Linked DNA regions of Daphnia pulex. The protein of the gene in region 1 purifies or fractionates together with the protein of each later gene. This does not show direct contact. Links are inferred from orthologs where the notes say so. Each region holds a gene or a part of one and is shown on either strand. Other genes may lie near its edges.

Region 1 (4,090 bases):
TGCGAGTTTTTTCTGGAATTTTCCAAAATTCTAATGACTGTTTCTTAAGTTCAGATTGCCGGTCCTCTCTTAGTGTGACATCTTTGCAAAATGCGGCAATTTTGGCGAGGTTTACAACTTGTCTTTCACCTATTGAACATTATACATACATGAAGTAAATGTTGCATATTTTAATACCAGGCAATAAATCAAACCCAAATCATTGTTGGACTCAAACAAATAATTGTAAAAGTCATGATGGTTTGTCATCAAATCCAATGGTACAATATGCATGACATCCGTTTCCGTTTTAGAATTACTAAGCTTATCAAGGCGACGATTGATTTCAAACAGGTAAGTCTCGACATCTTGAGTGTCACTTCTTTTCCACTTGCAAATTATATATCTACCAGGAATTCAAAAAAAAATATTAAAATAACTATTTGGAAAAATGATATTTAATAGCGCTCAATGTCGCAAACTAATAAATTTACCTTTCCGAATTGGCCGGTCGGGAAGTATTTGGTTTATGGATGGAAATTTGTTTAAAGGAACGATACATCAAGTATACTAACCCAGCGCTAAATGGTGTAAACAAATCAAATAACTTACACACAAAGTGGCCACCTATGAACAGAATTCTTCGATAAATAAACTACACACATGAAAACGTAGGAATAAAATACCTGTTCGAACTATAGACAAAGCAACAAGGAATTGGCAAAGATAAAGTCGTTTTGACAAAATTTCTTGAAGATTTTCTTGCCCTTCAACAGAAAATCCCTAAAGTGTTGAAAAGAAAAAGATAAGTTACACATACAGACTAGGTGGGAACATAGAAAAGCTTACTCCGTCGGCCATCATGAAATGTACGCCTTCTCCGGTTTGAGCCATAACAAAACGTTGGAATTCACGGATGTTTTCCGGATTATACACATCTCCGTTTCCTTCAACTCCACCAACACCTAATATAAAAATGATTCACTATAACTGACTACTGATTTCAATTGATTGATCTGATTTTTTTTAAATTAAAATTATAACACTTTTCTTTACCATAATGGGGTTCAAAACATTCGCAAGGGGCGGCATGGAAATCTTCCAACTTGAAATCGTTGGAGCTCTTTAGAGTGAAGCCGAAACCCTTGGCTTCCCATTTTTTTCGCCACAGTATGTATTCAGAAAATCCTCCTGGGCCAGCGCAAACGTCAGCAAAATAAAGTAATTCGTTCGGACCAAGAACTGGGGTCTGTAAAGAATTTCACTCAAAATCACAAAGTAAAATTCTGCTTTACCAATGTACAAAACTTACCCCATCTTCGTTTCTAGGATCAGTAAACATAAAATCAAAAACAGCATCCATATTTGCCATCTTCATCGCCGCTCTGTTAAGAAAAAAAGCTCCCCGAATAGTTTCAAATGGATTAGAGCGGGTGCGTGCTTTCCTTAGTTCTTCTTCTTCCAACACATCAAATATCGACTTGAAAAGAGCAAAGAACATGAATGTAAATATTTAATAATGACATTAATCATCCTAAATTAAGTTACTTTGCACTGAAGAACTTGTTTTAAAATGTCGCTGCTACAAAATGTTGTCTCATCATCAATTGTTAATTTTTTGGTTCCCTCTTTTACCCAATTTTTTAACTCTGGCAAAGTAGGTGCAGGAGTGGAATCTAGATGAAGCCATGAAATCTCTTCTTCCACTACAACAGTCTAGAAGACAACAGAATGAATGAATGAAATAATCAAGATAAATGTAGACATTAACAACCTCTCTACTTGAGTCCCATTCAACATCTTCAGCTTCCAATCCTTTTATCTGCAAACCCAATCCTCTTCTTCCGCGTTGTTTAGAGACTTCGATGGGCTGTGTCATACCTTGGGATTTCTTACCAAGTCCAGTTCCTTTAGCCCAACCCATTTTAGCCTTTAAGTAGTTCAGAAATCTATTAGCAGCCACATAGTATGCACTGTAAGAATATTAAACTGACCATCATTGCTGTGGCTTTATGATTTATGACTGGAGCAGCAGCAGATTTAGGTTTGATGAGTGTTTTATGTACAGAAGGCATGATAGGCTGATCATCATCACTAGAATCAGAATCTTGACTACTGGATGGTGCATTAAACCCATATCCTCCATCAGCATTACTTTTGGATGGGCTAACAATGACAGTGCTACGTTCACATGTTTCAATGTCATTTAGTTTCTTTCTTGAGTTAACTTCTCCTGTATTATTATAATACTGTGTGTTTGGTTTTTTCAAAGGAGGTCTGTAACTATCATCATCTGAACTGGAATCTGTAGAAATTTTGCAGGAAATTACTTATATTATATATATATAACCCATTAGTTGCAAAACGGGTTCCACCAATTTATTCAAGCTAGGTTAATTATTGCTGAAGATAAACCAACTTTTTTCTATAAAAAAATTTAAACAGCGTCTCATACTAACCACTCAGTGATGTTATTTTTCCTTGCGAAGCCATTGTTTAGCGTTTTGTAGTTGTGTAGACTATTTGATGACTGACGTCGTTCCTAATAATATAACGTTTCCAAATTTTTAAGTTAATTCAAAAGCCAAAAGCTTCCAAAAGTTGATTTCCATGATTTATATATGACTCACCAGAATTAAACGTACGCATTGACATGTGGCTATAGAAGTCAAAATGCAAGCATCTTGAAAATACACAAAAAAAAATGTCTGACGAATGATTTAATAAAACGATCGAATGACCGAACGGAAGAAAGTAAACACCGCTCGTTCTTGCTCACGCTAGCATAATCTGATATCTGTAGCGATGTCTGCTACAGTCTGGGTCTTTCATTTTTATTGGCTGATATGAAAATATTTTGAGTTTAGTATCAGTACATAGAGGGCAGCAGATAAGGTGGGGTCAGCTGTTAGTGTGGTGGTATTATTGTGTAATGTAATGAGCTAATCAGCCAGCAGCTCTCTGCAGACTGCATATCCAAAACCTAAAGCAAGCCGGCCTGTCATAATTTCTTACCTGTTATTTTTATGCCTTGGGTTGGCGGTTTGAGACTTGAAGCGTTAAGACATTCTGACATCAGCTCGCGAAACGTCAAAAACTTACATTAACGCTATCCAATCCCCAACCATTCGATTTGCAGTTACAACCACAGACTAAGAGGGTAAAGACTACGATCAGGGATAGGGCTAAAGAGGGATGCTTGAAGCGATGCTCGTCCTATGCCGTATGGTGGCGCGTCGAGCACACAAAACGAAAGCCATTATTTTTCCTCTTTCCCTACTGATTAGAGTCTTCACACACCGTAAGTTTATAATTAAACCATTAACATATCAATAGTGATGTTTTGTGTAAATATAGCTTAGATATCTCCCATGTTGTGGGAATTTTTTTAAATTTCTATGTGATGTCTAGATACAATCTATAAATTCCTTTATTAAACCCCCTTTTTGCCCATTTTCAGGCCCAGGAAACAGCGTTTCACGATTTTCAGGCCCATTTCAGAAAATCTTGAAACGCTGTTTCCTGGGCCTGAAAATGGGCAAAAAGGGGGTTTAATAAAGGAATTTATGGATTGTATCTAGACATCACATAGAAATTTAAAAAAATTCCCACAACATGGGAGATATCTAAGCTATATTTACACAAAACATCACTATTGATATGTTAATGGTTCAATTATAAACTTACGGTGTGTGAAGACTCTAATCAGTAGGGAAAGAGGAAAAATAATGGCTTTCGTTTTGTGTGCTCGACGCGCCACCATACGGCATAGGACGAGCATCGCTTCAAGGGGTTTATAGCCGTTCGTGGTCTTTACCCTCTTAGTCTGTGGTTACAACTAAAGAAATGTATGTGCGGTATGTGTAATCACTAATCAGTTGGTGAACAGTGCCAATGAAAAACGTCAAAATGAGTAAAGAACTAAATGAAAACGATAAAAGAAAAAGAAACAATCTTCTTTCTCAATACTATGGGATAACAGAAGAAAAGGATGTAGAAAACCTTTTTGACGTGGATGGAAAGCACTTTAATGCTGATGCCTATGTTGACAAACTGGTTCAGGTAATCATATTCTATTTCTTATTTTGCCAAATAATAAAATAAAACTTTT
Region 2 (4,409 bases), on another chromosome or scaffold:
AACTTGTGGGACTGCATTCAGACGTTGCGGAAAAAATGGGAGGAGACAAAAAGAGAAAGAGACGGAAGTGGGGCCCCACATTTTTCAAGGAGACCAAAAAATGGGAAGCCCGCGCGTCCCGCCTTCATGTTTAGTTCTGTTCACCTATTAACAGGATACAATAGAACAGCCTATCGTTTCTACTATGATCTGTGCTCTCAAAGAAAGCACACCTTTTAAACCAGTTGATTAGCCGTTTTGCCATAACAAGTAAGAACTTTTAGATTAAACTACAAAGGCAAAACGTGGCAAATCACCCTAGCTATTTTTCAGATCCCACACAAAGACAACCAAATCAACCGAAATAGAAGTTAGGTGAAGCTTACCGGAAAGCATAGCCGTAATCGAAAGGATCTCATTGGAGCAGTTGAATTCCGTAGAAGCAATCAACATTTTGGCCAATTGAGGATCAAGGGGAAATTCAGCCATAATTGCTCCCAACTCGGTCATGTTACCATCGTCGTCTAAAGCACCGAGATAATTCAGCAACTCTAGAGCTCTCATCAAAGTCTCGGGAGCTGTAAAATAAAAAAAAAAATCAGCATGCGGTTTATTTATTTAAATGTTGATATGGTACCTGGAGGGTCCATGAAATCAAAATGAACAAGGTCGTCGATGCCTAATTTTTTAAGATTAATGACGACTGATCCCAAGTTGGAGCGAAGAATTTCAGGATATGTGTTGTCTTGCATCTCTTGTTTGTAGGCTTTTTCTGTGTAAAGACGAAAACATTTTCCTGGTCGCGTACGCCCGGCACGCCCAGCACGTTGCTGAGCTGATGCTTTGCTGATAGGAGAAACGAGTAAAGACTCGACGCGAATGCGAGGATTGTAAACCTGAAAACAGCAATTCCACAAATTTGAACCATGTAACTCACATTTGAAAATTCCTAAATGTTACCTTTTGTTTGGCAAAACCAGGGTCAATAACAAAAACAACACCATCAATAGTAAGCGAGGTCTCGGCGATGTTGGTACTAATAACCACTTTACGACCGATGGCTCCATTTGGTCTAACTGGGGGAGCAGCCTCAAAAATCCTCTGTTGCAAATTTGGTGGCAATGTGGAGTACAAAGGAATACACTTCATTTCTCCCACTTCAGGACCAAGGTTGTCGATTTCACGTTTCAACCTTTTGCAAGCTTCATCGATTTCCTATGTGTACATGAATAAGATAAACATGTTCAGAGAAATCTGAGAAATTCAATCAAATTTTACAAATATATAAAGCTAACCTCTTGACCAGTGAGGAAGAGAAGAACATCACCGACAATATCTTCACACATGTGAATTTGCATGACTGTGCGTATGGCTGCTTCAAGATAGTCACGCTCGGGTTCTGGGGTGTAAAAGATCTCCACAGGATGCGTCCGACCGGGCACGTTCATCAATGGTGCGTTATCAAAATAAGATTGAAACTTTCCCGCGTCAAGCGTGGCAGACATGATAATTAACTTTAGATCACGCCTTTGCTTAATGACTTCCTTTAAAACACCCATAAGAATGTCAGTAGCAAGTGTACGCTCGTGAGCTTCGTCCAATAAAACTAGCTGATACGAGTCTAACAGTGGATCTGACATGGCTTCACGCAACAACATACCGTCTGTCATGTACCTTTAAAAAATGAAATAGGGAATAGTTTTGATCGAATAAAACGTTTTACTCAAAAGAACATACTTGAGTACGGTTTTGGGGGAAGAACAGTCTTCGAAACGGATACTGTAACCCACTTCTTGACCAAGAACGACGTCCATTTCATCAGCTACACGTTGAGCCACAGACCTTACAAAAAAAAAACGGTTTTATATTAAGAGAAAATTAACTATTTGACTTAAAATATTACATAGCAGCAACTCGACGTGGTTGAGTACAAGCGACTCCTTTTTTAACTCCTAGTTTTCGCGCAAACTCAGCCGACCTGTCACAATAATAGCAAATTATCAACAAACTGCTCTACGATAAACTAAATATATTTCCTAACCATTGAGGAATTTGAGTAGTTTTTCCCGATCCAGTTTCTCCAACTAAAACTATTGCCTGGTTGTTTTCTAGAAGCTCAAAAAATTTCTCCCTGTATTCCCAAACTGGAAGGCCAATGCGCTTTCGATAAATGTCATAGTATCTAAAACAATATAAATGATCATTATCAACGAGTGTTTAAAAAAAAATAATATTTATGATGTACTTTTGTGTATAGGGCAATCCTGTAAGGGGATTTAATGTCAACCCTGGCTTTGATGGTGTTACTGGAATTGATGCAGATGAACCACCAGGTTTAGAATCAGTTACATTTCTGTAAAGTAATAAGACAAAGCATTATTTTAATCTTAAGACACTAATATGGGAATTTGTAAATCAAAAAGTGAAAATGAATTTAGAAAAATATTTATAACAATAGAAGCTTACTTTTCTTTATCTGCTTCACTCCCTTTGTCACCAGTTGCCCGGCTGTAAAGTAAAACAAATTAATTTTATTGCATAATAATTTAAAAAAAGAATGATGGTTTTTTGAAAAATCATTAACAATCTTATCGACCACGACATGTTTCACTACAGCATGCTCATGTGCATTACAAATGACACAATCGCGGGTTTATTTGTCTAATTTGAATAATTGCATTTTACTTACGATTTCTTGCTGAGCTTGTCATCAACTTCTATGCGTCTTTTCGACATAATAAGAGGTGAAAATATCTATTTTACGATATTTAAAAACGAACAGGACGTGGATACACGTTTTCCAACAGCACAGACAGGAACTTCGGCCACCAATTTCCACACTTGCAGACGCTACTTGTGAAATTCAAAGGAAGCACGCGTTTCATTTCAAATCGCTAGATGGCACATAGCCAATAAGCGGCGAACTGCGGAACTACTGGTTTATTGCCACAATTTAAGTTGACAATAACTCGTCTACAGATGCCGTATTTTTATGCGCGGCGCTGATCTATAAATGTATATGGCTTTGCTTCTAATTCGTTTCAGACCCTAGCTATATGGTATTTGCTAATTGAATAGTATAGTAATTATTTTACTGCTCGATCACAATTTCATGGTTGCCTCGTTTTGGTGGTTAGAAAGTTACAAGTTAGCCTAAATGAAAAAGTTGTTGATTTCTCAATTCGGAATATTTCCTCCGTTCAGTACCGTTATGTTTATATATTCCACGAGAATTCAGCATTGACGACGTCCTTATTATAAAAAACTTTGAATTCATTTCAAATAAATTAGTTTGAATATCCAATACGCATTGAAGGACTCAATTTGTCTTATTTCTATTAATCATGTGTTTGGTCTAATGAAATTAGGCCTAGGAAAAAATAGAAAATAAAAATCTATATGGGGAGAAGCTATTGTTTAAATGCATTGATGCTTCCCGGAATAATTCAATTTAAATTGTTCTTTATTAGTAGGGAAGTTGTAGAGAGAAAGTAGAACGCAGAGAACGGGCATGAAATCGTGAACTGAGCGGAACACATAGCAGTAAAGAAAAAAAGAAAGGCTAGGAAATTTGATGTCCTATTTCTTCTTTCTCGGTGCTCCCGACATTCACATCGCTACCTGCCGCCGAGGAATTAACAGGTCTTCCGTCCTACGTCCGTCCAGTTTACGTTTCCCTGTTACAATTCCCTTTGAAAATCCGTAAGACAATTTTTTGTTACCGTTAATTTTATCGCTATAGCTAAAAATCTGTAATATTACTTAACAAAATAATTGGAAATTTCGTGTGTGCTGTTAAATAACTTGATTTCAATGGCCGAAAAAGTGCCCGTACTTCGGGAGAAAATATTTCCAAAGAAACCCGATTTCCGTTACGCGCTCTCAGTATCTAGAGCATCGCATTTTGATTTAATATTTTCCTTCTAAAGAGACCAAAGACTACTTTTTTTATTTGCATTTCTGTTTATGATTTGCAAAAATTGCGATCGGACATTTTTTGAATTGGGAGCCTTCGCCCTCTATGTCGTCTGAACTTGTTGATGTTATTAACAGATATCTTATTGAATAAAACTAGAGGTGCTGCTTGATTAGATAAGAGAAAGCCAGCAAGCAGTTATCCAGTGAAGGTAAACTGTAAATTATCCAGTGAAGGTAAACTGTAAAATGAAAGATGCAACGAACTTTCGACCGAGCCCTTAACTAAATATGTGTCAATGAACTCGAGAAACTTCTTTGTATTAACTAGGGTATACAGAAAAATGGACAAAATCATGTAGAGATTATGAACATTAAAATAATGATTTTTTTATTGTTGTTTTATTTTCAGGGACTGGCAATGAAGGCTGTACGTGTGCACACATTTGGAGGACCAGAAGTCTTGAAAGTAGAGTCTGATGTTCCGATTCCTGTTCATTCTGAAACCCAGGTTT

Evidence for each region.
Region 2: the proteins of cap-specific mRNA (nucleoside-2'-O-)-methyltransferase 1-like (region 1) and putative pre-mRNA-splicing factor ATP-dependent RNA helicase PRP1 purify together in Homo sapiens (co-immunoprecipitation; 3 studies listed by BioGRID and IntAct, with this or other methods). This does not show direct contact. The link is inferred for Daphnia pulex from reciprocal best matches to the Homo sapiens genes CMTR1 and DHX15.

What each region holds. Positions count from the first base shown.
Region 1 is NC_060021.1:637,977-642,066, reverse strand, and holds the start of cap-specific mRNA (nucleoside-2'-O-)-methyltransferase 1-like, read right to left. Parts: upstream 2,815-4,090; 5' UTR 2,610-2,814; intron 2,522-2,609; 5' UTR 2,473-2,521; coding exon 2,439-2,472; intron 2,285-2,438; coding exon 1,974-2,284; intron 1,910-1,973; coding exon 1,754-1,909; intron 1,696-1,753; coding exon 1,528-1,695; intron 1,460-1,527; coding exon 1,292-1,459; intron 1,229-1,291; coding exon 1,036-1,228; intron 945-1,035; coding exon 829-944; intron 763-828; coding exon 666-762; intron 607-665; coding exon 474-606; intron 386-473; coding exon 195-385; intron 130-194; coding exon 1-129. Other genes in the region: vacuolar protein sorting-associated protein 51 homolog, read left to right, coding at 3,874-4,041. UniProt on the Homo sapiens protein: S-adenosyl-L-methionine-dependent methyltransferase that mediates mRNA cap1 2'-O-ribose methylation to the 5'-cap structure of mRNAs.
Region 2 is NC_060017.1:1,846,481-1,850,889, forward strand, and holds the start of putative pre-mRNA-splicing factor ATP-dependent RNA helicase PRP1, read right to left. Parts: upstream 2,842-4,409; 5' UTR 2,716-2,841; coding exon 2,669-2,715; intron 2,488-2,668; coding exon 2,446-2,487; intron 2,333-2,445; coding exon 2,225-2,332; intron 2,162-2,224; coding exon 2,021-2,161; intron 1,958-2,020; coding exon 1,883-1,957; intron 1,822-1,882; coding exon 1,717-1,821; intron 1,654-1,716; coding exon 1,275-1,653; intron 1,195-1,274; coding exon 940-1,194; intron 876-939; coding exon 617-875; intron 558-616; coding exon 366-557; intron 12-365; coding exon 1-11. Other genes in the region: quinone oxidoreductase-like, read left to right, coding at 4,194-4,226, 4,307-4,405.